Linked DNA regions of Oryctolagus cuniculus. The protein of the gene in region 2 purifies or fractionates together with the protein of the main gene of each other region. This does not show direct contact. Links are inferred from orthologs where the notes say so. Each region holds a gene or a part of one and is shown on either strand. Other genes may lie near its edges. The genes, in order: SERTAD4, PPP2R2D, CDCA4, PPP2CB, PPP2R1B, PPME1 and PPP2R1A.

Region 1 (4,045 bases), on a different chromosome or scaffold from region 2:
CCGGGACTCCAGAGTTGGTATGTGTTAGTCTTGTTCCCCAGCATATGAAATTCTATCATTATGCATTTGAACTTGAAATGTGACATAATAGTTTTTATCCTGTTTCTTTTGTTTACAATATCTAATTTTGGTAAGGTTTCCTTTTTTTGAATTGGAAACCGGTTACACGCAACATCCTAAACTGGGGAGGCTGCGTTCTGCCAGTGATTTATGTAAATCTGAATAAAACATGAATGAGTTGGGATTACTGGAGAATGGGGAGGAGATTTTGCAATTGAGTCTTCCTGGTCTATTTAGAATTTACACCAGGATGTTAACAAATTAAGAAGGGAAGTTTAACGCTCATGAAAAGCTGGACTGTGCAGTACTAAGCACCATTGTTTCATGGGAATTTTTATCTGTAACACATGGAGGAATCCAAACTGGCATTACTCCCTGTATGAGATTTACATTATAATTCTGCTGCTGAATTCAGAAGTTCAAGACCACAAATTTATGTGCTGTTAATTTTTAAAATTTCCATGTGCTGATAACAATTAAGTACAGCCCCAGGGGTATAGATGGTGGCAACATTTGTTTCTTTACCGGCAGAGGCAGGCAGATCCAAATGGAGGATGTTCAAAGTGTGTTTTGTCTGTGCTTAGAATTACCAGCAGGTGCTTGGGAGTCTGTTCTGTCACCCGAGTGGATGTTGTGGAATGAACGACCTCTCAAACATCCCCAGGAGACTGGGGGCTAAAATGTCAAGTTCTTCCAGCAAACGTTCACAGCAAAGTCACCAGGCATTTCTATACACATTGGTTCTTCCGGAAGAGTTGGGCTTGTCAGTTCTTTGGTGCCACTGTGGTGCTAACAGGAGCGGCTGGCACACTGGCCAGGGCAGCCCTGAGCTAGTGGCCTCTGGACTCTAACGGGGTGGGGTGGGGGGCCCTTCTGGCCGCTTTGTGCCCACACCTCTCTCCTCTCCTGTGACTTCGGAGAACAGGCAGCATTTCTGAAGCGCATCACAGCAGTTAGAGAGCACTGGCTGGAGCCCAGGAGCCCAGGGGAGCTGCTGGGCTGCGGCTGCCAGCACAGCAGTCTCACACGTGTGCCAGGTGGAACCAGCCCCCTGACCTCCACATTGTCCCTAACAAAATCTCAACAGCTTGTCTGGCTCGTGGCGGTGTTGGAAGGGGCCGGTGGGTGGAGTGACAGCCTTGAACCCTTCTAAACAGACAGATGTCGCTTTCCTGCCAGTCCCTGCGGTACACCTGTCTGCCCTGGGAAGCGCATTTCTCTGCCCCAGCCCCGCGAGGCCGAGGGCTTCAGGTTGGGCGGTGGAGTTGGGAAGGCTATGCTGGAACCCAGGGAGCACTGAGAGGTGTCGGGGTGTCCGAGGCTTGGCTTGGCCCCCGACTTTTCCCAGCAGAGGCCCAAGGTCAGGGTCCTGGGTTTGGAAGGTCCATCCCCTGCAGGCGGGCAGCGGCTACGGCGTCCAGGCTCGTGCTCGGACACAGCCCCAGCCCCCGGAGGCGAGCGCCGCAGCCCCGAGCCCCTGCCCCAGCTCGCGAGCTGAGCCCGGCAGCGGGTGAAAGTCACCAGCACCCCAAGTGTCTAGGAACAAAGGCAAGTTGTCTTTCCACGGTGCCAGAGCCCTGCGCCTCTCCTGCAGAATAAGAGCTATTATTATTCTTTCTTTTCGTCTCCCTCTTCTTTTTTTTTTTTTTTTTTTCTTAAACCAAGTTTCCTTCTAAGGGAAATAAACACCAAAGGTAGGATTCCAAGGAAGTGACTCACGGCGGTTGGCAGGGCTCTGGCGAGGCTGGCCCGGGCCCCGCGCTCCAGCCCGCAGCAGATGCCGGCCCGGCCTCCCTCCTCGCCGGCCCATCCCACCCGGAGCCGCGGCCGCCGAGCGCCCGGAGCGCGCACCTCCCAGCGGTCCGAGGCCGCCTCGGCCCCGCTGGTGCGGCCGCAGCTGGGCATTCGGGAAAGTTGCTGGGACCCAGGAGGCGGGAGGGAAGGAAGGGGGGAGAGAGGCGGAGGCGTGGACCCGGCGGGCAGCAGCCCCAGCCCGCCGGGGAGGTGAGCTGAGGACAGAGGAGCCGCCGCCGCCCGCAGCGCGGCTCGGCTGCCTGGGAGGAGGGCGCGGGGGCGGAGGTGGCGGGGGACAGAAGGTGTCAGCTCCCGCAGCGATTCTTTTTTCTCGCAAACGCGCGCTCCTGACATCCACAACCCCTCCCTCCCCACCTGCCGTGCGCCGCGGCGTCCAGATCTGGGGACCTCCCTCCTGCGGACCTCGGTCCCCTAGGAGGAGAGACCCAGCGCAGGTCTCCCCCCGCGAGCTGCTGGCCGCACCTGCCCCTGGGGTCCGCTCCGTGCTCGGGGGCGGCAGCCGGAGCTAGCAGCCCCGGAGGCGGCGGCGGCGGTTCCCGCCCTGGGAGAGGCGCCGCGGCGCACGCCAACCCCGGGAAAAGCCCGCGCCGCCTCCGCGCGCAGCTGTGCCCCGGCCCCCACGCCGCGCCCGGGTCCCGCTCCGGCCCGCCGCGAGGCCACCCGGTGGCCCCGGCGCAGCCCCAGGGTGGCGGGGGCGCGCGGGCAGGAGCCCCTGGGCACCTGCCCTCGCCCTCCGAGCCGCCCGGCCCTCCGCCCCCGCGGCCCGCGCTCAGCCCGGCTCTTACCGCGGGGTCAGCGGGGAGGCGGCGGCCGCTGGTCCGCTCCGGGCTTGGCGCCAGCGCGGCCGCCGGTGCACAGAGGCGCGGGTCCCGGCCCGGCGGCCCGGTCGGCGGTGGCCGCTGGTGCGCGGCGGGCGAGGGTCCCGGCAGGTCCCCGCCGCGGCTGGGGCGCTGCGCCGCCGTCGCTGCAGACGGTTATGGTAATGAGCGGCTGTGTCTAGCTAGGAGCGCGTGAAACCCGTCAATCCTGTTTGCCATTTCCCCGTGGATTTCCGAGGAGAGGCTGTGCAGGATGCCCCCGGGGCGAGAGAGGGAACATGACAAGCGCCCGCGCTCCCTCCTCCTTCGCCGCCGCCGCTCCTCAGGAAGCACACGGGGCGCCTTCCCCTCACCCCCACCCCAGCCCGCCCCTGCCTCCTTCCCGGCTTCCCGCCCGCCCTCCGCCGCCCCTCCCCGCCCCTCCCCTCGCGCTGCCCGGGGACACGCGGGCCCTGCTCCAGCCCGCAGCCCGGACCCCACGCGCTCCCGGGCTCCCGCCCTGGCCCCGGGGGCTCGGCTCCAGCAGAGCCGTGGATTCGCGCCGCAACCTTCCGAGACGTCGTGTCTGTCTTTATTTGGTTTAGTTTCGTGGCTGTTATTGTGTGTGCGTGCGACTTGAAAAAAAAAAAAAATCTGTGCTTTTCCCACCCTTTGCAAAAGACTTTCTTCTCCTTTGCCACAGCAAACCGAGATGAGAAACAGATGTCCGTGCAGGACCCAGCGGTGTGCTCCCTTCGCCTCCCGCTCCGCCGCTCCCCTCCTGGGCTGCATCTGTAGGTATAAAAAAAGCAGCCTAGGTCCTGCTGCAGCTTGCATTGGCAACTCATTCTGCGTGGGGAGCCGCGGGGAAAACCCCCAGGAAATAAAAAGAAAGTAATAAAGGAGGTTGTCCTTGGTCAGGAGAACGTAACTGCAGCCCCAGAATCCCATTCTTTCGCTCACGGCAATTTCCCCCTGTGCTGGGCTCCATCGGAGTTTGTTGTTGGAAACATGAATTGGTAACTTCTGCCTGGGGACCGCTCCGTAGACGAGATGGGTCATTTCAGGTGTAATGAACGCAGAGGCTTGGAAGGCAGAAACCTAATAAAACCGAGGGGAGGCACCTGCAGGAACGTGTTACAGAGGCTGTAATGTTTGTTTACTGCACTCCGCCAGATGTGCTAAATATAACACTTCTTTAAAACAGTGATCCTCCGACTGTGGAAAGACAAACCTCTGGCTGCCTGGCTCCCCAGGAACCAAGGAGGCGCAGAGCCTGAAAATCAGGGAGGAAAGGAGCAAGATCAAGGGTGAGGATTAGCATCTGCAAATTGAACTCTATCTGATTTGCATGTTTATTTCCTAGAATTGTA
Region 2 (3,500 bases):
GGCTAGGACAGCGCTCGGCACGCCATGCGCCTTGTCGGAGTGCGTTCCAGTCCAACCCGACTTCCTGCAGGGCACACCCTGGGAGACAGCAGGTGGGCCCTGTCAGTCACACACGGACGCAGATGGGAGTTCTGGGCTCCCAGCTTCAGCCTGGCCCGGCCCCGGCTGTTGCAGCATCTGAGTGGATCAGCAGATGGCAGATCTCTAGCTGTCTTTCCAATCAAAAACAAAGCTTTACTTTCAGGAACAGGAAACTGCTCTAGGTGCCACCATGAAGACACGGGCAGGCATCAGAGGACACGGCCCCTCCCCAAGTGCCATGGGACAGGGTTTCTGCGCCGCAGGCCCCTGTAGCAGGCACAGGAGCACAGAACGCCCCCTTTTAAGTTTACTTTTATTTATTTGAAAGGCAGAGAGGAAGACAGAGACAGCTTCTGTTCGCAGGTTTGCTTCCCAAATGCCCAAGACTAGCTGGGGCTGGGCCAGGCTGAAGCCAGGACCAGTCTCCCTTGTGGGTGGGGGGCAGAGACCCCGCACTTGGGGCCTCACTGCTGCCTCCGGGCGTCTGCATTAGCAGGAAGCTGGACTGGAAGCAGAGCTGGGGCCTGGCTGCAGGCACTCCAATGTGGGATGCAGGCTTCCCAAGGGATGGCTTAAACCACCGTGCCACACACTCTCCCCAGGGGTGCCGAATCCTTAACACACTTAGTCTGAGGAAGAGAGCGAGGCAGAAAGCTGTCAACAGCTAGAGTCAATGGGTGAGGATGAGCAAGGGTGCCTGAGGCTGCAGCTGACAGAGGTCCCACAGGCGCTGCCTGGCGGCTCTGGGGCTGGTGAGTGCGCTCTGCTCCGCGGGCGCAGCTGCACCTGCTCCTGCCCGGCCTGGGGGAGGACCAGCAAGGTTTCCAGGACGCCTGTCTCCAAACACCATGGCAGACTGTGGTTTTCCACAGAGTCGGGCCAAGTAAGAACAAAGCCACCACCGTTCTTCTCATGACTGCACGCATTCGAACGCCAGACCTCAGGGACCTGGCTCCAGGTCCAGCAGAGCTCACTGGTGAGACGCGCTCTCGCAGCCCGGCCCAGGCGCTAGTGCTCCGAGGGAGACAGCACTGCCCGCCGGGAGCCTGCCGTGTGGGCCCCAGGGAGCCGCCTGTCTGGTGGCCGCGGGACACTCACATTTGGCGTGCCTGTCGCACAGGGCGGACGAGCGCATGTCGCACAGCCGCACGGTGCCCTTGCTGCTGCTGTAGACGAGCACGTTGCACTGGTGCGGGTGGAACTCGGCCGCCGTGATGACCTCCGTCAGCTCCTCCATGTTCGCGGGCTTGATGTCCACGATGTCTGCGGAGCAGCGTTAAGGCTCAGGGCTCAGCGCCAAGTTTGCCCTCAACAGGGAACACGTCACCACACAGGGAGGTGGAAGGCTCAGAGCAAAGCAGCCACCAGACAGAGGGCAGGCGTGAGCCCGCTAACAGACGACGGAGCACGGAGGGCCATGCAGGGACGGGACAGAGGGCAGGTGTGAGCCCGCTAACAGACGACGGAGCACGGAGGGTCATGCAGGGACGGGACAGAGGGCAGGCGTGAGCCCGCTAACAGACGACGGAGCACGGAGGGCCATGCAGGGACGGGACAGAGGGGGGCAGGCGTGAGCCCACTAACAGACGACGGAGCACGGAGGGCCATGCAGGGACGGGACAGAGGGGGGCAGGCGTGAGCCCGCTAACAGACGACGGAGCACGGAGGGTCATGGCAGGGACGGGACAGAGGGCAGGCGTGAGCCCGCTAACAGACGACGGAGCACGGAGGGCCATGCAGGGACGGGACAGAGGGGGGCAGGCGTGAGCCCGCTAACAGACGACGGAGCACGGAGGGCCATGCAGGGACGGGACAGAGGGGGGCAGGCGTGAGCCCGCTAACAGACGACGGAGCACGGAGGGCCATGCAGGGACCACCTCTCTGCTGTTCTCAGCGTGTGTTTAACCACCAAGAAAAAGTAACAGACGCACGCTACACACACCCAATACACACCCAATACTGCCACAGAGAATCTGATTATCTGACATGGAGAGCTTGCTCTGAATACTTGGAGCCACGTCCACGTAGAAACCAGTCAACTGAGACAAGAGGGAAGTCAGGATTCCACGATGGGTCAGCCTGGCCGCCCGCTGCAGCTGTGCCGGAGAGACTAGCCCGCGGCTGTCCAGGGGAAGTCACCGACACCGACAGCGGGCAGGGAGAGATGCACAGTGAGCCCTGTCTGCCCGGCCTGCTGGCTGGGGCACGTGCGGGCCACGGGGCGGGGGGAGCCCACGAGGGGCCCAGCGAGTCCGAGAGGAGGCAGCAGGTTCCGGGAAGGCTGCAGGGCTCAGCGTGAGGAGCTGCCCAGCCAGGCCCGTGACCTCAGTGCGGGGCAGCACGGGCAGGAGGCCGAGTCTCCAGAGCATGTGTGAGCAGGGCTGGGGCTCTGCCCAGAATCCACATGGCCCCGGGCGCAGCAGCCGGACAGGCGACGGAGGGCACGAGGCCACGGCTGACGACTGACTGCCCGGAGGCAGCGCAAGCCCCACGCCACACTGCTCCCAGGCAGGGAGTGAAATGCCACCCTCGTCACCCTCGTCTAAGCTTCCGCCATTTCATGATCTGTCAGCAATGTAGAAGAAAAAACACGCAACACAGCCTGGTCAACACTGCCACTGGCGGAGCCACGCGGGCCACGGCCTTCGGGTCATTCCCAGCACACTGAGAACCTCCCCCAAAGGCAGAACAACGCCGTGTTCTCAGGGAAAAGTGCTTTATCTCACGGGGAACTTACAGCACTGGCTCTAAGCAGTGTGCAGCGTGCGGTGAGACTGAGAAGCAGGGGCCAGCGCTGTGCCACAGCGGGTAGAGCCGCTGCCTGCAGTGTGGCATCCTGTATGGGCGCCAGCTCAAGTCCTGGCTGCTCCACTTCCGATCCAGCTCTCTGCTATAGCGGTCTGGGAAAGCAGTGGAAGATGGCCCTTGTTCTTGGGCCCCTGCACCCGTGTGGGAGACCTGGAGGGAGCTCCTGGCTCCTGCCTTCAGACTGGCGCAATCTGGGGAGTGAACCAGCGGGTGGAAGACCCCCGGCCCTGCCTCTCCTTCTCTCTTGGTGTAACTCTGACTTTCAAATAAATAAGTAAATCTTAAAAAAAGAAAGAAAGAAGCAGGCATGGGATGTGCGGGGAAGGATACTGAAACTTCTGTCCGTGATTTCCAGGTGCCACAGGTTAATTCGCAGGTCATCTGCAGAGAGATACGTCTCGTGGTCACTGTTCACTGAAATGGAATTGATGTGATACGTGTGAGCATTCGCAAAGATCCGCCGCGGGCTGGCTTCCACCATAAGGTCCATGGGCTTCAAGATGGGGACCTGTAAACGGAAGGCACAGGAATTGAAATGACGACCACATAGCAGGGACTGGGACAGACCTTCACGGCCGAGAGCTGGTGTCGTGCAGAGCACACGCCCAGTC
Region 3 (4,292 bases), on a different chromosome or scaffold from region 2:
GGGGCTCTGCGTTAGACCTGGAGAGAGGGACCTCACGTCAGCAGCGCGGGAGCTGGGAAGCCAGCTGGACGCTGACGCGGGCTCCCCGCCGTCCCTCCGCCCTGCCCAGTCCACTAGCACCAGGCCTTTCCCCGGATGGAGCCCACGAGGTGCCCTCCGCTCCGCTGTCACGCAAGCACCACCGCGCGGCCACCAGGGGGCAGCACCGCCAAGCCAGAGTCAGGTCAGCAGGTGGGCCAGGCGCCGTATTTTTTGAAATTTTATTATTTGGGGGCGGGCGCCTGGCGCAGTAGGTTAATCCTCCAAATGCGGCGCCGGCATCCCATATGGGCGCCGGTTCGAGTCCCAGCTGCTCCTCTTCCAATCCGGCTCTCTGCTGTGGCCTGAGAGAGCAGTGGAAGATGACCCAAGTCCTTGGGCCCCTGCACCCGCGTGGGAGGCCCAGGGAAGCTCCTGGCTCCTGGCCTCGGATCGGCCCAGCTCCAGCCGTTGCGGCCATCTGGGGAGTGAACCAGTGGATGGAGGACCTTTCTCTGTCTCTCCCTCTCACCGTCTGTAACTCTACCTCTCAAATACATAAAATCTTATAAGTTTTTATCTATTTGTAATTCGGAGAGGCAGGCCTCCCATCCGCTGGTTCAAGAAGGCCACAGCGGCCGGGCCGAGCCAGGCGCCTCTTGCGGGTCTCCGGCGCGGCGGCGGCCCCGCTCCTGGGGCTTCCTCGGCTGCTTTCCAGGCGCTCTGCCGTGGGTGCCGGGGTCGCGAAGAGAGAATGTGGGGAGATGCGGACGGCGCCCCGGAGAGCGGGATCACGGGAGACGGCGGGGCGGGCCCACGCCCTCGGCGCCCCGGTACCCATGCGGCCCCGACACCGGGGACAGGACCCAGAGGCCCAGAGCCCGGCTGCGCGGCCCGGAGGAGGCCGCCCCCCACGCCCCGACTGTCCCAGCTCCAGCGGAGCGGCCGCCCAGGTGCACGGCGCCGCTTCGCCTCCCGGAGCCGGGGGTGGGCGACCCAGGCCCACACGCACGGGGCGCGGAAGCCGCGGGCCCGAGGCCGCCGCCAGCCGCCGCGCCCCGGCCCCCAGGTCATGCATTTGGCTCCCAGGCCCGAGGGCCCGAGCCCTTGGGCATCGCCGAAGGACCAGCCCGGGCGGGGGCGCCCCGGGAGCTGCACCTGCAGGGCACGGACGCGGAAGCCTCACAGCCCCGCCCGCCCCCTGGAAATCCCCAGCGCAGGCGCACTCAGGGACGCGCGCGAGGAGACTTGGGAGTCAGGGGCGTGGCCAGGCGCGAGGACCCCGCCCTCTGGGAGCCTGGGGGCGGGGCCGGGCCCGAGGAATCCTGGGAGCCGCTCACGGCATCTGGCGGGAGGGGCGGGGCCGCCGAGGGCACGTGAGGCGCCCAACGGCCGCCGCCGCCGCGCGGGAACGGGCGCAGCCTGGCCCCGCCCCAAGCAGGTTTGAACCCGAGGCTCCGCCCCCGTGCTCGGCCAATCGGCGAGGGCGGCGCGCGGCGGCCGCCATGGCGACCCTTTGTGGGCGCTGAGTGGCGCCGCGCCGCGCCCCGCCCCGCCCCGCCCCGCGCCGGCCGGGCCCTCCCTCGTCGGCGGGACGCGGCGGTGGCGGCGCGGGCTCGGTCCCCGCGCAGGTGAGCGTCCGGAGCGGGCTGGGGGGGCGGCCGGGTGCAGCCGGCGCGGGCGCTGCGGGAGGGCGCGGGGCGCGGCCAGGCCGCCCGGCTTCGAGCGGGGAGGCCCGGCCGGCGCGGGCGGGCGGGCGGGCGCCGGGGGCGCAGGCCTTTGTCCCCGGAAGGGCCGGCGGCGTCGGGCCGGGGTCACGTGCTGGGCGGGGCGGCCCGGCCGGCTTGGGGCCGCGGCTTCTCGGCGGCCGGCTTCCGCCCGTGGGTCCTCGGCGCGTGTCGGGCCGGTGAGCCGGGCGTCCTGCGGGGCCCTGGCCGGGTGCGGGAGGGCGCTGTCCCCGCGGGCCGCGGCGCTTCGTCCGCGCTCAGGGAGAGGTGGGCCTCGCTCTGCGGGGCGCGGCGGACCGGTGCGGCCCCGGGCTCGCTCTTTGCAGGTGGGGTTGGGGGTCGGTGTCCGGGGTCGGCCCGCACCTGCGGGGGCGCTGCAGGACGGGGGGCGGGGTGGAGCTGGGGGCAGCCTTTGCCTCGAGTTCCTAAAAATGTCCTTTCTCCGCAGGACAGCCGGGCAGGGAGGAGAGCGGGGCGGCGTGGACGCGGGGCCAGCATGGAGCTGCCGGCGGGGACGGTGAGCTTGGCCGCGGGCGGCCCGGGAGCTGGGGGCGCGGGCGGAGAGGCCCCTCCGTGTGCTGGGCGCCGGGCCTGGGACAAAGGCCCGAAGCTGGGAGTTCGTCCAGTGCCGGCCGCCGGGCCGGGGTTTCCGGAAGTCACTGGGTGGTCGCGGCCAGCAGGTCCGCCTGGGGCAGCCGCGGCCCTGTCCAGAGCTCCGTCCTCTGCGCGTGTGCCTGTGTGTGCGTGTATGTGAGGGACGTGTGCCTGCGTGGGACCTGTGCGTGTGCCGGGGAGCTGCGTGTGTGCGGGGGGCGTGTGTTTGTGTGAGGGACGTGTGCGTGTGTGTGAGTGCAGGGGACCTGTGTGTGCAAGAGATGTGTGTCTGTGCATGTGTGTGAGGGACATGTGTGTGTGTGTGAGGGACGTGTGCCTGCGTGTGTGTGAGAGGGACCTGTGCCTGTGTGTGTGCGTGCGGGGGGACTGTGGGGGGGCATGTGCCTGCGTGTGTGTGTGTGTGTGTGTGTGTGTGAGAGAGAGAGAGAGAGAGGGACGTGTGCCTGTGGGGGGGGGCGTGTGCCTCTGTGTGTGTGTCTGTGTGTGTATGAGGGACGTGTGCCTGCGTGTGTGTGTGTGCGTGCGGGGGGACTGTGTGTGCAAGAGATGTGTGTCCATGTGTGAGGGACATGTGTGTGTGTGTGAGGGACATGTGCCTGCGTGTGTGTGAGAGGGACCTGTGCCTGTGTGTGTGTGCGTGTGCAGGGGTCTGTGTGTGTATGAGGGACCTGTGCCTGTGTGTGTGTGTGTGTGTGTGCGTGTGCGGGGGACGTGTGCCTGCGTGTGTGTGTGCGCCTGTGCCTCCCGGTGCGGTGAGCGGCGCCTGGTTCCCAGGAGGCTGCGTCTGGCCCCAGGCCCGTGGGAAGCAGGCTGTGGCGGGGGTCAGGTGCCCAGCGCGCCCCTGCCGGGCCTCGGTTGTGTTCTCTTTCCTCTGGCGAGCGGCCCCCACCGGACAGACGGCCTGCGGTACAGGGGTTTGGCCGTGCCGAGTCGGCGTTTTAGCTCCGGTGGGGGGTCAGCACAGGGAACCCAGCCCGGGGCCTCCGATGCTCGCCGTACTTGGCGGTTTTAAGCCATTGACTTGTAGGTTTATTTATTTATTTGGAGGCAGAGTGGGAGGGAGGGAGGGAGGTCTAGCATCCAGATGGCTGCGACAGCCAGGGCCGGGCCGTCCTCTGCTGCTGTCCCAGGCCGTTAGCAGGGAGCTGGGTCAGGAGTGGAGCAGCCGGACCCTTCCCCGACGTGCCGGCCCTGCAGGCTGTGGCCCGAGCCAGGACTCTGGACGTGGGGTTGTGTTCGGGGCAGCAGGGGTGACTGGGTCTCCACTTTCTGCTGGCGAGGCAGGGAGGCCGCAGCAGCAGGAAGCTGGACTGCACACAGAGCTGAGACTCGAACCCAGGGCCCCGTTAGGGTGTGGCCTCTTGGCCACTGATCTCCTTGTGTGTTTCGGTGTTGATGGCTTCCGTTTCGAGACAGTGGGGGAGCGGCCGTGAGCAGGTGCCGTGGTGGGGGGAGCGCCTGCCTGCTGTCCCGGGGGAGTAGGCCGTGGTCCCACACTCCCACCGTTGTGCTGTGACGTGTGTGGACACACAGGCAGCTGCGGAGTGCTGGGCCGTCCTGGCTCTTGTACCCAGAGCCCACATCTGGTGAGGTCGCGGTTTGGCCTGCGTCCTGGCGGCTGCACCGGCGTCAGACGGGTGCTGGAACTCCTGGACCAGCGGCAGCTCGAGCCCCTCCCCTAGAGGCCACAGCTTTCCTCCAGGGTGTGGCTCCGCCCCCTGAGCATGGCCCCTCCCACAGGGAATGCTCGGGGCCCTTCACCTGGCCACTTCCTGTGATGAGTGTTGAAGTGTGCAGGGTGCTTGGGAGGACGGGACCTCTGTTGTCGGGTGCACCCTCGGGGGCTCCTGAGAGGGGTGTTGGTGGCGCCGGTTCTGCCCTGCACACCTCTGAGGAGGGACCGCCCTCATGCTCCTGCTCCCCCGGGGCTCC
Region 4 (4,018 bases), on a different chromosome or scaffold from region 2:
ACCCTCTATGTCTCAATGTCGGCCCCACACACGGGCACCATCTTAATATAATCAGTTCAAGAGATCAGTGAATATGATCCCTGCCTGGCAGGTAAGAAGTCAAAGGTGCCAGATGGGCAGCTAGCAAGTGGAGCACAATTTGAATCCAGACGGGTGGAACGCTACACCTGTTATTAACAACAAGCATGAGGTAGGGATATAAAACCAGAACTAAGGACTACAGGTAGACCCTAGGTTAGTACCTAGTTGGTACTCTATATCCATAGAGATATATCCTCAGATTCAACCAACCAGAAATTATGATATGGGGGAAAAACTGCCTCTGTACTGAACACAGACATTCTATTTCTTATTCTCTAAAAACACAGTATAAAAACCATTTACATAATATTTTCATATCAGGTGTTACAACTTAGAGATGATTAAAAATATACAAGAGGGACCAGCGCCGTGGCTCACTTGGCTAATCCTCCACCTGCGGCACCAGCATCCAATATGGGCGCCGGGTTCTAGTCCCGGTTGTTCCTCTTCCAGTCCAGCTCTCTGCTGTGGCCCGGGAGGGCAGTGGAGGATGGCCCAAGTGCTTGGGCGCCTGCACCCGCGTGGGAGACCAGGAAGAAGCTCCTGGCTCCTGGCTTTGGATCGGCGCAGTGCCGGCCGTAGCAGCCATTTAGGGAGTGAACCAACGGAAGGAAGACCTTTCTCTCTCTAACTCTGTCAAAAAAAAAAAAAATATATATATATATATATATATACACAAGAGGAGGTATGTACATTACATGCAAACACTGCACATTTTATAAAAGGGACTTGAGCATGGGGACTTTTGGTATTCTTATAGGACCTGGACCAATCCAGCACAGATACGGAGGCACCACATATGCCACAAAAGTAAGCCATAGTTGCCAGAACAAGGCGGCTACACTGAGAGCTGCTGAACTACTGGCACTCTGCTCCACTGGCAACTCTATCAAAGTGCACAGAGCACAAACACAAATGCAAGGCGATCTTCACTTGAGCTTCACATTTTGTGGATAACTACAATCAAAGATAGAACAGGTCAACGCGTAAGTAAACTATAGCTGTAAGATCCTAGGTAGTTCAACTTATTTAGGAGGTGAAGTAAAAATAATCTCTCGATAAATACACAGTTTCCTGGCATGATTTAAGATTTGAGTGCAATTATCAATGTACTGGTAAAATAGTCTCCTCTAGGAAATTAAAATTATTAGAAAGTCAAAAAGAAAAACTGATTCAACTACCACTTTAGTCATAACTTCAAGTCTGTATCTGACGTTCACAGGGAGGTTAACCAATTCAGCTAATTACTCAAACTTGATGCTGGAGCTTGAGAGTTTAGTAAAGCGTAAATTGTAAGACCCATGAAATCACAGGTTTTCACACACACACACACACACACACACAAATGTGGAATGAAGGTACAAGCAAGCAGTTTGCTTCAGGAAGAGAAATATACCATTTCTGTGGCACTTCTATCTGCAGAAATAAATTCAAATTCACTTTTATCTGCAGAAATAATAACATGTAGTTATTCAATATGTAAGCTCCCTGGGCACTTGTTAAAAACAGTGGCTACCCCTCCATCCTTTAGTTGCATAATTTAAAAAGTGCCCTACTGGGGCCTGTGCTGTGATGTAACGGGTGACATCTTTACTTGATGACTGAGGCTGGTTGAGTCCTGGCTGCTCCACTTCTGATCCAGCTCCTTGCTAATATGCACCAGCGTGGGAAACCTGGAGGCGGCTCCTGGCTCGGGCAGGGCCCCCACCATTTGGCGAGTGAACCAGCAGATGAGAGATCTCTCTCTTCCTCTCTGTAACTTTGCCTTTCAAATAAATAAATCTGTCTTTTTTTTAAAAGTGCCCTACTAATAAGGCTTAAAAAATTACTTCCTCAGTGCTTTTCTGAGGTATGCGGGCTTTCAAACACATTTAAGAAAATAACCTAAAATAACCTCCTTACTCCAGTACCTCGTGGACTTCCAAGGGGACTTTCCAACATACGAATACATGAAAACTAATTAGTCCACAGCGCAAATGATGAATGAAGAACAACTGGAGGCTCTCAAGTACACCACCTGCACAGGTGAGAATTCCACGGGTTCACAAAACAATGGCTTCCGAATTCAGAAAGCTAAGACCAGACACCTGACAACAATGCACTGCCTGCAGGGTTTACCCCCGTTTGGGGACTGGAAACAACTTTCTGAAAAGTGCCACCCTGCATGACAACTCACAGGACGGGACTTTAAGAAATTTTTTTTTTTTGGTGTAAAAAACCGATTTTTAAATCCACGAGCAGTCTTTAATCCTTATAGGCATTTTCCACGAACTGTCCCCGAGCTCCGGCCTCGCGGCGCGGGTGCCGCCAATCCACGCGCGCCGTGCGGGGCGCCATCTGCGCGCACCTCTATTTTAAAAAAGCCACCGTCTGCCATCACGCCCACCGCTCCGGCGCGCGGGAGCAAGTTGGCCGACCCCGACGACGCGGGGTCGGGTCCCTCTCGGGCCGTCACGCCCGTTCCCGGCGGACACCCGAGTCGGCAGCGCGGGGGCGCGGGCACTGCCCCGAGCCGACTGCGGCGTCGGGGGCCGGCGCGGAGCCGCGGCCAGGCCGGGCAGGGGAGCCGCCGCCGCCGCCCAGCGCCCCGCGTTCCTCCCCGGCCGGCCCTCACCTTCTCGCACAGCGTCCGCACTTGGTTCTCGTTGAGCTGCTTACACTCGTTCAGCTGCTCGACCCACTGGTCCAGCTCCTTGGTGAACGTCTTGTCGTCCATGGCGGCCCGCTCCCCTCCCCCACCCGCCCCCGCCCCCGCCCCCGCCCCGGGCGCCGCTCCCCTCACCCGCCGCCGCCGCCGCCGCCAAGCCCCGAGCGGGACAGGAAGGAGCTGGGGAGGGTGGCCGCGGGCCCCGCACCCGGCTCAAGTCCAGCGGGCGGCTCCCCGAGGGCACCCCGCGTCCGTCCCCGCCCAGGGAGTCTGTGGGGGAAGCGGAAGGGTCGGGGTCGGGGGGGGGGTGGGGGAGCGCGGCGAGGACGCTCTGGACGCAGCTCCCGCCGGGCGATGGCCGCCCGCGACCGCTGCCGCCGCCCGCCGCCCTCTCCCGGCTCCGTAGCCCCTACCCTCTCGCCCTTTCTCTCCCCTCCCTGAGGGTTTCCGTCATCGCCCGGGCATTTCCGCCGGGAAGAGGCGAGCGGGCGGCGCCGCCGGGGCACGGCCGGCGAGGAGCGGAGCAGCGCCCTCGCGTGGCTCGGCGGAGAAACGGCCCTGGGGACCCGGGGTCGGGGGCGCCTGTCCGGTCCTCTTGCTTTCTCTGGTCTTTTCCTCCCAGCCTGGTCTTGGCTCCCCTGATTTCTTCCCCAACATCTTGTCCTAGGGCAACTTCGTGTTCACCTTAAGCTCCCGCAGTGCGTTTCCGCCGCTCTGGACAAGGAATTTTATTCTCCCCAGCGTCAGGCACTCTTCCGAAGCAGGCATTCAATTATTTACAGAATAAATTTCTTCTAGCCGGGTGTCTCGAACGCTCGCTTGCAATATCGGGAAGATGAAATGATTGTTTTGTGCGATCGTCTGGGTCGTTTCCAGCTCCAGCAGTGTTTACCGAGGTGTAATGATTTGGTCAACACGCTCTTGGTGCCGGCTGCCGGCTGCTGGCCAGGCACCTTGTCCGGCACATGCTAACCACCCACACTTCTTCCCTTAGAGATTCGCAGTGCTGGGCGGAACCCCAGAGGGAGGCGGCATCCTGGGTGAGAGGGCAAGTGTTCCTGACCTGGCAGTCGCCACACCTCCTCAAGCATCAGCTTCCCTTCTCAGGCTCTGAGAGTCAGAGGTTGAAAGTGCCTGTCCCGTGGTACACCATGGGAGCCATGTGTCTGTTGTTTTTACTGTCCTGGGGAACACTTTCAAAGAGCTTTAGAATGGGAGCATTTTGAACTGAATTATTAAAAAGCATTTATTTATTTTGAAAAAGTTGGAAAGGTAGAGAGAGATCTTCCA
Region 5 (4,194 bases), on a different chromosome or scaffold from region 2:
GCCCAGCTCCAGCCATTGCAATCATTTGGGGAGTGAACCAGCAGGTAGAAGATCTCTGTCTCTCTAAGTCTTTCTCTCTTCTATGTAACTCTGCCTTTCAAATAAATATATCTTAAAAAATTCAAATACCTGTTTGACATCTAAATAGGAACATTACAGAAAGATACACACTTTCAGTGATAACTAGGTACAGTATATATCTAAATCCATATCTGTCAACTTGTGGGGTTCCATAAAGTTCAGAAGTAGACAGAAAGAGTAAGCATCAGACAGTAAAGTCCTGAAACATGTATCATATATCATATCTGTCTTGTCCAACTGTTGAAATCCTAGTCTTTTTAAGACTTATTTTATTTATTCAAAAGGTAGACAGAGATCGAGGTGGAGATCTAGATCTTACACCTGCTGGTTCACTCTCTCCCAATGGCTGGGGCTGGGTCAGGCAGAAGCCAGGAGCCTGGATCTCCCTCAGGGTCTTCGATGTGAGCAGCAGGGGTTCAAGTGCTTGGGCCATCATTCACTGCTTTGCCAGGCACACTAGCAAGGAGCTGGATGGGACTTGAAACAGCACTTGCTCATATGGGATCCTAGCTGATATCACAGCTGGTGGTTTAAACCACTGCACACGCTGCCCTACTCCCTTTGTAACCCAATCATTTCTTAAAACAGTTCAGACATCAACTGTTAAGAAGTCTCCCCTAATCACCTTAATTCTTTTCTCCTCTCTTATTTGGGTATCTTAAATGTGCTTATGTTTCCCCATTGAAGATTGTACCCTAATATTTGTGACCAAAAACAAAGATCTCATTACATTTGTTTGGCTTTCTTTGACATTAACATTGTAACTTACAATATGCCTCATATAGCAGGCCCTCAATAAATGTCAACTGACCAAAATCACAGTGTAAGTCAGAAGCAAAAGTTACACTATAAAGACAAAATATTGCTGGATGAAAAACAAGACTTCCAATTTTACTGGGGGGGAGGGGACCCATAAAAATAACCAAATCTTTTTTCTCTTTAAATTAGTAAGTCTATGGAGGCAGAAAAATAAAGAACTTCTATTCATAGAAAATAATAAGACAGGGTTGAATCCAAAGTGCTTACATTATATATTCTCTCAATGGCTAACACTATGAGCATCTATCCATAAAATGAGCTGCCTAAAATATACTGCTGTTATGCCTATCACCAAACAATGTATCATTTATACTGCAAAGGTTCTAGAAGGAGGGTAGGCAGCATAGAAATACTCACCAGCAGACAGTGGGCAAAGTCTGGACCTCCCACCAGGCCAGTGAAATTTCCCAACTGCTCAGCAAGAGCTAACAGTACCTCATCTTCATCATAAATTGTATCTGAAAAGGACAACAACCAGGTACTCACCAACAAGGTAACTGGCCAAGAGCTGGACACTCACATAAAACTAGCAATAGATTCAATATGTAAATAGTAAAAACATCCAGTCCCAATCCTAACAGTATTTTCTCCTCAATGAACAGTTTTCCTGGATCTGATTTACAGAATGAACTAGAAATTCATACCTTCATATCAGTGACTTCCCCATTAGCTATACACAGTTAATGTTTGTACGTATCTGGCCACAACATTACCATATGTGTTGTTGAATTTCTTTTGCACAGAAAATACCAGCCTCAATTTGGTGCTTTTTGATACTGTGGACAACAAACTCTGAAAAACAGCCAAAGCTCTGAAAGCCATTGGTAAATGGAAATGTCCGTGCCTTTCTTGAAACACAGACTCACACACCTGTAAGGAATGGCAGCAGTTCAGTTCTTGTCCTTTCTACTCCAAGTGCTAGAGCAATTGTTGATAACTTCTTAATACTGTTGAGTCGGAGCTTTACAGGAGAAAATGGAAAGAACAAAATAAAAAATGATTGCAATGTAGACCAAAAGGCAACAGGAGCAAACAGGTGAACTAACTAACAGGTCTAGGAATAAGGATAATCTTTCATTTACACTTCATTGGTAAGGAACAGTAATGTAACACAGCCTTATTAGCCAGAGGGAGGATTCCTAGGCCAAACTCTCTACAAGGGCCCGAAGAGAAAGGAATGAAAGAAAATACTCAGCAAGCGGGACAATGTTAAAAAGCCAGAACTCCGGCAGCGACGAAGCAGGTGAGACGGCTGAATACAACCTACACCGAAGCAGACACACCGCCTCACTTAGGTTCCTCAGCCAGGCCACCCGCTTTCTACCCAACAGGCCCAGCCAGTTTCCAGGCCCAGGGGAAGAGGCTGGGCTGCACCTCAAAGGGCCCTCTGGCATCCTGCGACCCGCAGGCCGCCCAGCTCCCACGCGGCCCGGCCCTGCGCCCCTCCCGAGGGCTCGCACGCTGGGCCCGCAACGGGGCGCCCAGGCGGGAAGCCGGCTTTCCGACAACAGCCCGGGACGGTCGGAAGCCCGACGGAGGGGTGCTGGAGAGGCCCCGCGGTGGGCCGGGGCTCGGCGCCACAGCCCCTCGCGAGTCTTTCCAGCTTCCCCTTCGAGTTTCTGCTCCGCGTCCGGCTCTTTCAACCTCCCGGCCTCCCTCACAGCGGCTCCGGGCTTCCCCCTTCCCTACCCTGAGCGACGCCGGACCAACCCGCCACGGCTCTCCCCGCCCCAGTCCGGTACCTGCACGTCCTCGTTGCGGAGTTCGTCGATTAAAACCGCGATCGGATATAGCGAATCGTCTCCATCTCCGCCCGCAGCCCCCGGGCCGGTACCGGGCCCCGCCGCGCCCGCCATGTTCTTTCTCCTCCGGATGGTCGCCGCCGCCAGCCCCCGCCCCGCGCCCCGCCCCGCGCCCGCGCCACGCCCCGCGCCACGCCCCGAGCCCCGCCCCGCGCCCGGGCGGGCGGGGCTGAGGCCTCGGCGCGGGCTCCGCGGAGGTGGGAGCACCGAGCCTCTGCCCCGCCGATGGAGGCTCCCGCCCGACCCCCATTGCAGGAGGCGGAGGTCCGAACTCCAGAAGAAAGGTGGGCTGTGAAAGCGAACGGAAGCCCAGTGTCCTTTCCTCAGCCGAAAGAAACAGGGGCAGGGATTCATCCTGCTCGTTGTGGTCTGAAGGAGGCAGGTACCTCCGTGAGCGATCAGTGTTGTGCTCTATTAGGACTCAGGCCGGCCAAAAAGGGTGTCCGAGGCCAGGAGGAAGAAGGTTTTAGCGCCTCCCCTGCCTTCATCCTGGCCCTGAGCCACTGGGTCTCCAGGCTTCATCTCTGCACTCAGGATCAAGCTTCCACAGAACCCCTCCACCTCTTCTTGAGCCTGCTCGCCAGAGTTGTATCTGGCTCCTACTCTGTAAGACAAATAACGCGGGCGGCGAGAGAAAATGAACAGTGCTGTCCAAACTCCCCAGTCAATATTTTTTCCACGCAAGCTGTTAAAAACATGCTGCTCTCTTGTTTTTATGTTTCTTTTCAGTTTGGTACTGGAATGGTGCCTTCTGTTGTATTTTCTTCCTCCCATTTTTTAGCTCTTTAGCATGCAAGAAGTACAACAATCAAGCAAAACTAGGACAAGCTCTAATCCTTGCAAACTGCGTGGAGTGGCTCCTGTGCTCCTTGCAAGACAGCCTGACGTGGCCTCCCCAGACCCGAGTGTCCTCAAAGGCGGCCCTGGGGGAACGTGGGGGTCTGGGAGTTTTTCCCTGCAGAAATTCAAGGGAAGGTTTTCATTTACCCGTGTTAGGGCAACACAGAATACCTAGATGTCCTGTCCCTGCTTTTGACTGGAATTCAAGTAATAACTACATAGGAGGACTACAAGCTCTGATATTTTTCTGTCTTATTAATAAATACGATTTTGAGCCGGCACCGCGGCTCACTAGGCAAATCCTCCACCTTGCAGCGCCGGCACACCGGGTTCTAGTCCCGGTCGGGGTGCCGGATTCTGTCCCGGTTGCCCCTCTTCCAGGCCAGCTCTCTGCTGTGGCCAGGGAGTGCAGTGGAGGATGGCCCAAGTGCTTGGGCCCTGCACCCCATGGGAGACCAGGAGAAGCACCTGGCTCCTGCCATCGGATCAGCGCGGTGCGCTGGCCGCAGCGCGCAGGCCGCGGCGGCCATTGGAGGGTGAACCAACGGCAAAGGGAGACCTTTCTCTTTGTCTCTCTCTCTCACTGTCCACTCTGCCTGTCAAAAAAAGAAAAAAGAAAAAAAAAGAAATGCGATTTTGGAGACAAATGTTG
Region 6 (3,500 bases), on a different chromosome or scaffold from region 2:
CAGGATGGTGAGGAGACAGCGGCATCACAGTGGCCTCTGGTGCGATGTATTTACAACAGAGCTCGATGCTGAGGGAGGGGTGGTGAGCAGGTCACTAACAGCCAGGAAACACACTGTGAAGAGCAAGAGAGGGATGAAAATGTAACCAATCACCAGCTTTCCCCTGCTTCCCCAGGCTCCTTTGGCCAACCCTCCCTAATGACCACCAAGGCCCCTGAAGATCTGTCCCACCTCCTCACAGGCCCATCTGGGACCAAATTTCTACTCTGAGTGCATGTTCCAAATAGCCCAGAGACCTCTAACACTGTTTAAAAGAAATTAGGGGAGGGTATTAGGAGAGGGTTGTAGTGTTTAAGGTGCTATTTGAGGGGAAGGCTTTGTGGTACAGTAGGTTAAGCCACTGCCTGCAATGCCCATATCCCATAAGAACACTGGTTTGAGTCCCAGCTGCTCCACTTCTGATGCAGCTCCCTGCTAACACACCTGGGACTGCAATGGAGGATGGCCCAAATACTTGAGACTCCTTCCACCAACATGGGAGACCCAGATGGAATACCAGGCTCCTTGACTTTGGTCCGGCCCAGTCCTGGCCATTGCAGCCATTGGGGGAGTGGAACCAGAGAATGAAAGATCTCTCTATCCATCTAACTCTGCCTTTCAAATAAATCAATCCTCCCCAAAAAGGATGTTATTTGAGATATGTGCATCCCGTATCACAGTACCTGGGTTCAAGTCCCAGCTCTCTCCTAATTCCAGCTTCCTGTTAATGCATGCATTGGGAGACAAGAGGTGCTAGGTGGAGTACTTGCAGTCCCTGTCACCCATGTGGGAGACCCAGTTGGAGTTCCCAGCTCTTGACTTCAGCCTGGCCCAGCTTCAGCTATTGTAGGCATTTGGGGAATGAATCAGCAAATGGGAGATCTCTGTATCTATTTTTACTAGGTTGAATTTCAAATAAGTAAAAATTTTAAAAAGAGAAACTAAGTCGTCTTTGCTGACTGTGGGCCCCATCAATGGTTAGCTGCTAGAGGAATGGTTCAACATGAGGGTGTCATTCCTATGGCTCACAGCTCCAAGCTCTTATCCTGTTGTCACTCTCGCCTCCAACTCACGGCATTCAGAGTTCTTGTTCAAACTTTCTGAAGGAGGGAACAGGTTCCCCTGAACTCTGAAAATCAGAAGGATTTCAAATGGCAGATGTGACTCATCAGACCGTGGACTTTGAGGACCCAGGGCCTTCCTCAGCACAGACAAGTAGGCTTGAGGGGGGGCAAGAACCTGCTGGGTTAACACAGAGCCCAACTGTGTCTCCCTAAGCAGCTGAAGAGCTTCCTAGGGGGAGAGGCCTGCACTCCCTGCTTCTGCAGACCAGTGGTTCTTAACTGGGAGCAGCTTTGCCTGCCTGGAGACAGCTGTGGTTTGCAGAACCATGTGTGGAAGGTGCTGCTGCTATCGAATGGGTAGAGAACAGGGACACTGCTGAACATCCTACCATGTGCAGAAGAGGCCCCGATAGCAAAACAACAACCCATCTCAAAACGGCGGCCATGCTGAGGCTGAGAAAGCTGCTCTAGGGTCCTGTGGGATCTCTGGGTCCAGCCAGCCTTGCTCAGCAGCAGGGCAGAAGGCACAGAGGCTGATTCCCATCTCAGCCTCCTCGAAAAGGGGGTACCTCAAGAAGAAATGCACATCGCGGTGAGGGGCTGGGAGACCAGGCATGATGAAATCGCACCTTAGCAACAACCCACAGGACCAGAGCACAGAGAAGTAACTAAGCACAGCTTTGCCGAAATACACATGCCAGCCTCTCTGTGGAGGAAGAGGAAGGTGACCCACATAGGCAGGGCTTTGTGAGGCAAATATCTGTTTGTTGGGTTGGGCAGCGCTCATGGAGATCTTACACCCTTGTACTTACCACTGGAACCCTCCGATGGGCTCTGCGAACCTGTGCCGGATCAAGAAAGTGGCAACAGCTTCAGCTACCTGAAAAGGGAGAGATTCCGGGCCATATGAAGGTTTGTGATGGTGCTTACCCTTGGAGTCTTGAGAGCTTCTGTTGGAAAATTAAGCTATGTAATGCCCTCCTGAGTCCCACAAGTCTGGGTAGCTTGAAACCAAAAGGACCTGGGTCCTGGCAGGGCTAGCAAACTCCCATCATCCTTCAGGGAATGCCAGCAAGCTCAAGAGGAATGGGACTTATTTATCCCCTTTGAGTTATGAAGCTCCTTTTTCCCACAGGAGTAGTTCATGTTCATTCCTATTTGTGACTAGGTTAGGGAACAGTTTCTACCCTCAACCATCCCTTCTTCCACCTGGCTTTTGGGAGCAACACAGCTTAAGATCTCAATCATAGGGCCCTGAGAGGAAATGCAAAGGACACAACAGGTCCTCAGCCCCACCCACAAAGTCAAGCCCACAGGCAGCTGCTAGAGCCATGTTTGGGAAGCTGGTGGCTGCAGGTGCCTGGATTTCCCTGCAGCTGCAGGCATCCCAGGCTAATACTCAGAGGCTTGTCCTATCTCCTGGGCCATCCAAAGTCGCTCTCACAGTTGTCCTGTCGTGAAGCACCAAACTCACCTTGTCAGGGGCATCCTCATGGACTGCATGGCCACACTGGGGCAGGACCTGCATCTGGAACTTCCCTGGAGAGGAAATAAAGCCAGGCAACCTCAGGCACTCATACCGCCCTCCCTTACTACCTCTGCAGCCTCTCAGGTCACTCCAGGAGCCCAAGATGGCCCCATTTCAACCCCAGCCCCAACTCCATACTGATTACCTACCGCCTCTTTGATGAAGATGGTAACACTGTAACCCTCAATCATTTCCCTTCACTTTTCCTTTTGTGCCTACTTAGTGTACAGTGACCTTGGGGTAAGAAACACAGAAGAGCCTGGTGTTGTGGCATAGCCAGTAAAGCAAGCACTTGTGATGCCTGTGGGCACTGGGTCTTGTCCCAGCTGCGCCACTTCCAATCCAGCTCCCTGATAATGACCTTGGGAAGGCAGCACAAGATGACCCAAGTACCTGGGCCCCTGCCACCCACATAGGAGACCCAGGTAAATCTCCTAGCACCTGGCCTTTGTGGCCATCTAGGGAGTGAACCAGCAGATGTAGGCTTGCTCACTCGCACTCACTCTCCCTCTTTCAAATAAATAAACCCTTTAAAAAAAAAAAAAGACACATAGAAGACAAATCCTCTGATCCTCAAGGAATTAACAGACCAGAAGGGAGTAAGACACAAAACCAACATTTTCATGCAGCATGTAATTCCTGTGATAAAACTGGGTAGGGTTGCAAGAGCAGAGGGAAAGAGCTTCACAATCCAGTAGGAAGCCAGAAGGCTTCCTCCATAGAAAAAATGGCCTAACACAGAAGAGAGCAGCACTGGGATGGTATTTACTGCTGGAATTAAAAGCAGCTGAGCATGCTGCTTGGGCAGGTGGTTACTTAATGGTGAGGCTGGAGAGCTAAGCCAGGACCATCTCATGAAATTTCTCAGC
Region 7 (3,969 bases), on a different chromosome or scaffold from region 2:
GCAAAGGAAGACCTTTCTCTCTCTGTCTCTCTCTCTCACTGTCCACTCTGCCTGTCAAAAAAAAAAAAAAAAAAAAAAAAAAAAAATCTTGAAAAAATTGCTAAGTCTGGGTGTCAGACACTATTTTCTCTACTTTTGTCTGAAATCTGACAAGTAAAGATGGTAATGGGGCCAGCATCCTTAGAGTTGGCCACCGCCTGCAAGCACCGGTTCCCTCCCACCTGCAGCTCCCGCTGATGCACTGGGAAAGCAGTGCAAGACGGCCCAAGGGCTTAGTCCCTGCCCCCCATGCAGAGGCCCAATGGGGTGCTGGGCTCCTCCCTTCAGCTCGGCCCAGCCCTGGCCACTGCAGTCATTTGGGAGGTGAACCAGCAGCCGGAACACCTCTCTTTCCTCTCTGTAACTCTGCCTTTCAAACAAACACATCTTCTAAAAAAATGTTGATGGAAATAGATTCGTACCTATCTAAGACAGCGTTTGTGAGGATTCAATCAACACAAAGCGCTCGGCACACTCCGCAGCCCACAGCAGGGTCTCAGTCCCGGCACTACCGACGTCTGGGCCACTTCGCGCTGGGGACTCTGCGCACTGCAGGGTGCTGCATGTCCAGGACCTCACCCACGGAAGTCAGTGGCTCTCCTCACAGCAGAGAGCCTGCTGAACCCCCCGGGGGACGTCACCCCACGCTGAGAACCTCTGCCCTACACACCCAAGAAACAGCGTAAAACACGCCATGCACACCAGTCAGAAGCCTCCTGTACTCCATCACCACCTCCCCACGGCTCGGAGTACATGCAGCTGTAAACACGGTACGTGCACCAGCCCTGTCCTCACCACCCCAGCAGCTGCTAAATTACTCCTCCCTGTCTTCCCTAGGCGTGGAGAGTGACTCTGAAACCCGCCCTCTGAACAGCTGACCACATTTCAAGAAGCACGGTGCCCCGAGCACCCCGGACAGCGCGGTTAGGCCTGTGCATCTCACTGGTTTGGGGGAGGAGTGGACTAGGGGATCCGGTGACTCTGTGGCTGAACTCATGTCACCACCACCACCGTCTTCCCTCACTTTTCCAAGATCCAACTGTGAGCCATCGGGACGACGGAATGGGGTCACCAGTACTGAACACCCACTCTGAGGCAGCCGGCTTCATTGCACCTCCACAACCAGGCAGATGCAGGCTGGGGGCTGGGCCCCAAAACGGAAAGGTACCGCTGCGAGGGCACTCAGGGAGCCAACTGGGGCTCCGACCTGTCCCCCTCAACTCTACCTCGCCCACTGCATCACACCGAACTGGCTCTGCCCTCCCTGACACAGCCTGGCTCCACCCACGGCTAGCACCAGCCCTGCTGCTCCTACCCCACGGTCACAGGACTCCTTCAGAATCGGTCACTGGACGTTCCCCTAGTAAGGCCTTGCAGTGCCCTCCCCACCCTCACCCCCATCCAGAACCACAGGCCTCCCAGCCTAGGCCTCACTTCCCACCGCCTGGCCATTCACTCTGCTTCAGCCACACTGGCCTCGTCACGTCCACTCACAGCCTTCGCAGCAACAGTCCCCTTGGCTGGGACGGCCACTGTGCTGTCCGTCCTTCACCTCACTCCAGCCCTTGCTCGCAGGTGTCCTCCGGGCAGCCTTCCCTAACCTCCCCATCCAGTGCAGCAGGCTCCGCTCACTCGGTCCCCGTCTCTGCCTCTCTTTCCTTCTTAGCGACGACTGCGACTGACATCACATTACAGATTTATTTCTGTCCCCCTCCCTGGAATGGAAACCCACAAGAGGAGCAGCTTTGCAGGTCTGCCCCCTGCTGTACTTCCGGTCTCTAACGCATGGTCCCCACAGAGAAGGTGCTGGATGGATACTTGCTGAACAAGCGAATCAAGGCTCCAGGCTTTCCAGCACCCTGAACTGTCTCACTAAAGACACAGACCCACCAGCATCTGGATGCCGCCCGCACGGCGCTGGCCCACCCCAAGTTCTGTTCTGCCTTCTGGTCCTAGCTACTTCCTTTCAGCTGCAGGGCTGCAGCTGTGTTACTTCTGGTTCCTGAGCTCAGGCTTCCTCACCTGTGCGATGTAGATAAGCACAAGGCCTGCTCCGAAGGGCGGTAAGAGCAGCATGTAAGTCAGCAAGCACGTAAACACTGAGGCCCGATGTCTGTCCAGCACCTGGGGCAGAGCAAGCACCCTAATCTGATACCAGGGAAGCTGTAGTCAGGGGTTGCCGGTTCTTACCTACAAGGGACCAAAGTACTTTGGCTCTGGGAACCAGGCCATCTGCTAACAACTCCTCTACTGGGTGGTTTCGGCACAGAAAAAGCAGCCACAGACAACCTACAACTGAATGGGCGTATCTCAGTTTACAGACAGCAACCACTCTATTTAGAAAAGCAGGAAAGGGCACAGGTGGCTGTTAGCCAATCCCTGGCTTAAACGGAGGCCGACAAGGTCCTTCCAAAGGCTGGACTTCACTTCCTCTTCAACTTTATTTCCCAGCATCAAAACCAGCCCAGGACCTTTGTACTCATTTCCTCCGCCTGGAATGCTATCCCTAGGTATCCACGGGCCTGCTACTTCCCTGCATCCCTCTACTCAAATCTCACCTCCTCCGCAAGGCTTGCTCAGCCACTCCAGCGAAGCCCGGATCACAGCCACGCTGGCCAGGCCTCCCCACCCCACCCTGTTTTACTTGTCTCCACGGCACTCCTCACCATCTGCTCTTTCTCTCTGCCTGCACAAGCGAGTGAGCTCCACAGGGTAGGTCTCTGCCTGTGGCACTGCAAGATGTTCAGCTGCATACCTGACCTCCACCTACAAGACACCAGAAACAACCCTCTAGTTACCCCAACCAGAAACCTCGCCAGATGTTGCCGAATGTCTTCTGGTGAGCAAAATCGCCTAAGTTAACAACTACAGCCCCCGTGTGTCCCCTCTCTTTCTGGAAGCACCTTCGCTCAAAATCTGCATCCTCAGCTGGCCAGCGCAGTGGCGCAGCAGGGCACCACCTGGAATGCCAGCAGCCCAAGTAAGCACCGAGGAAGTCCCAGCTGCTCCACTTCCGAGCCGGCTCCCTGCTAACGCGCCTGGGAAAGCAGAGGAAGAAGGCCCAGATGGGTCCCTGCACCCACGTGGGAGAATGGATAGAATTCTTGGCTCTCAGCTTTGGCCTGGCCCAGCCCTGACCACTGCAGCTCTCTGGAGAGTGAACCAGCAGAGGGAAAAGCTCTCTAACTGCCTTTCAAACACATAAATCTTTTTAACAAAAACAGTCTGTACCCTCCCTGCAGGCCTCCTTACCACGCATCCCCACCCCACTCTGCCCGTGCTGTGCTCCTTCCCTGGTCTCCACCGGTGTCTGCCAAACCTCAGCTCCTTGGCAAGGCTTCCCCGGACCTCTCTAAAGCGGCGTCCCCGTCCGGGGTTAAGTTTTACTTAACATGGGGTTTATTGTCTCCCTCACTAGGGCGTCAACAAAGCCAGAAGTTGTTATCTGTGTGTTGACTGCTGCACACCAGCGCCCAGACTCCCCCCAGATACTTACTGATTCACAATCACAGCCCCTTGTTTTATTTCCACACTGCCTACACGTGTTAATAACATCGGACACTGAGTTCTGTCTCCCGCACAGCAACCCGAACTACCGCTACCCCCCCAGCACCACCCCGAGACACAGCAGGTGTCTGTCAAACGCATTCTACATCAGCACTACGTGGACCAGACAGCAGCCCCACTCGAAGGCTTGCGGAGATGGACTCACTTGCCCATCTCCATCAGTGAGGAGTGCAAGGGCCGGGACTACAATCACAGCCCGGTGCCACCAGCACCTGCAACCCACGGAGCTCGGCAGGCTTCCTCGTGCAAGGAAACCCGCACAGCTTTACCAAGGCGGGAACTGAGGCCGAAAGGGAAAATGAGACCGCGGTCACCGCCGCCTTAATCACAGCCGACTAGTTACTGGGCCCATTTCAGCAGCCC

Evidence for each region.
Region 1: the proteins of PPP2R2D (region 2) and SERTAD4 purify together in Homo sapiens (affinity purification with mass spectrometry; 3 studies listed by BioGRID and IntAct, counting the BioPlex papers as one, with this or other methods). This does not show direct contact. The link is inferred for Oryctolagus cuniculus from reciprocal best matches to the Homo sapiens genes PPP2R2D and SERTAD4.
Region 3: the proteins of PPP2R2D (region 2) and CDCA4 purify together in Homo sapiens (affinity purification with mass spectrometry; 3 studies listed by BioGRID and IntAct, counting the BioPlex papers as one, with this or other methods). This does not show direct contact. The link is inferred for Oryctolagus cuniculus from reciprocal best matches to the Homo sapiens genes PPP2R2D and CDCA4.
Region 4: the proteins of PPP2R2D (region 2) and PPP2CB purify together in Homo sapiens (affinity purification with mass spectrometry; 6 studies listed by BioGRID and IntAct, counting the BioPlex papers as one, with this or other methods). This does not show direct contact. The link is inferred for Oryctolagus cuniculus from reciprocal best matches to the Homo sapiens genes PPP2R2D and PPP2CB.
Region 5: the proteins of PPP2R2D (region 2) and PPP2R1B purify together in Homo sapiens (affinity purification with mass spectrometry; 4 studies listed by BioGRID and IntAct, counting the BioPlex papers as one, with this or other methods). This does not show direct contact. The link is inferred for Oryctolagus cuniculus from reciprocal best matches to the Homo sapiens genes PPP2R2D and PPP2R1B.
Region 6: the proteins of PPP2R2D (region 2) and PPME1 purify together in Homo sapiens (affinity purification with mass spectrometry; 4 studies listed by BioGRID and IntAct, counting the BioPlex papers as one, with this or other methods). This does not show direct contact. The link is inferred for Oryctolagus cuniculus from reciprocal best matches to the Homo sapiens genes PPP2R2D and PPME1.
Region 7: the proteins of PPP2R2D (region 2) and PPP2R1A purify together in Homo sapiens (affinity purification with mass spectrometry; 9 studies listed by BioGRID and IntAct, counting the BioPlex papers as one, with this or other methods). This does not show direct contact. The link is inferred for Oryctolagus cuniculus from reciprocal best matches to the Homo sapiens genes PPP2R2D and PPP2R1A.

The regions. Positions count from the first base shown.
Region 1 is NC_091444.1:25,080,555-25,084,599, reverse strand, and holds the start of SERTAD4 (SERTA domain-containing protein 4), read right to left. Parts: upstream 2,801-4,045; 5' UTR 2,661-2,800; intron 1-2,660.
Region 2 is NC_091446.1:1,029,650-1,033,149, forward strand, and holds part of PPP2R2D (serine/threonine-protein phosphatase 2A 55 kDa regulatory subunit B delta isoform), read right to left. Parts: intron 3,398-3,500; coding exon 3,220-3,397; intron 1,345-3,219; coding exon 1,180-1,344; intron 1-1,179. UniProt on the Homo sapiens protein: Substrate-recognition subunit of protein phosphatase 2A (PP2A) that plays a key role in cell cycle by controlling mitosis entry and exit. Involved in chromosome clustering during late mitosis by mediating dephosphorylation of MKI67.
Region 3 is NC_091451.1:47,066,231-47,070,522, reverse strand, and holds the start of CDCA4 (cell division cycle-associated protein 4), read left to right. Parts: upstream 1-1,492; 5' UTR 1,493-1,649; intron 1,650-1,810; exon of another isoform or gene 1,811-1,924; intron 1,925-1,936; exon of another isoform or gene 1,937-2,071; intron 2,072-2,193; 5' UTR 2,194-2,241; coding exon 2,242-2,262; intron 2,263-4,292. UniProt on the Homo sapiens protein: May participate in the regulation of cell proliferation through the E2F/RB pathway. May be involved in molecular regulation of hematopoietic stem cells and progenitor cell lineage commitment and differentiation.
Region 4 is NC_091433.1:80,852,010-80,856,027, forward strand, and holds the start of PPP2CB (serine/threonine-protein phosphatase 2A catalytic subunit beta isoform), read right to left. Parts: upstream 2,801-4,018; 5' UTR 2,798-2,800; coding exon 2,696-2,797; intron 2,038-2,695; exon of another isoform or gene 2,023-2,037; coding exon of another isoform or gene 1,984-2,022; intron 1-1,983.
Region 5 is NC_091432.1:103,722,085-103,726,278, forward strand, and holds the start of PPP2R1B (serine/threonine-protein phosphatase 2A 65 kDa regulatory subunit A beta isoform), read right to left. Parts: upstream 2,801-4,194; 5' UTR 2,757-2,800; coding exon 2,643-2,756; intron 1,862-2,642; coding exon 1,771-1,861; intron 1,359-1,770; coding exon 1,258-1,358; intron 1-1,257. Other genes in the region: alpha-1,2-mannosyltransferase ALG9, read right to left, coding at 3,117-3,306. UniProt on the Homo sapiens protein: The PR65 subunit of protein phosphatase 2A serves as a scaffolding molecule to coordinate the assembly of the catalytic subunit and a variable regulatory B subunit.
Region 6 is NC_091432.1:65,501,875-65,505,374, reverse strand, and holds part of PPME1 (protein phosphatase methylesterase 1), read right to left. Parts: exon of another isoform or gene 2,643-3,500; coding exon 2,578-2,642; intron 1,984-2,577; coding exon 1,916-1,983; intron 114-1,915; coding exon 95-113; 3' UTR 1-94. UniProt on the Homo sapiens protein: Demethylates proteins that have been reversibly carboxymethylated. Demethylates PPP2CB (in vitro) and PPP2CA. Binding to PPP2CA displaces the manganese ion and inactivates the enzyme.
Region 7 is NC_091449.1:6,415,854-6,419,822, reverse strand, and holds the start of PPP2R1A (serine/threonine-protein phosphatase 2A 65 kDa regulatory subunit A alpha isoform), read right to left. Parts: upstream 2,801-3,969; 5' UTR 2,793-2,800; coding exon 2,706-2,792; intron 2,164-2,705; coding exon 2,062-2,163; intron 82-2,061; exon of another isoform or gene 1-81. UniProt on the Homo sapiens protein: The PR65 subunit of protein phosphatase 2A serves as a scaffolding molecule to coordinate the assembly of the catalytic subunit and a variable regulatory B subunit.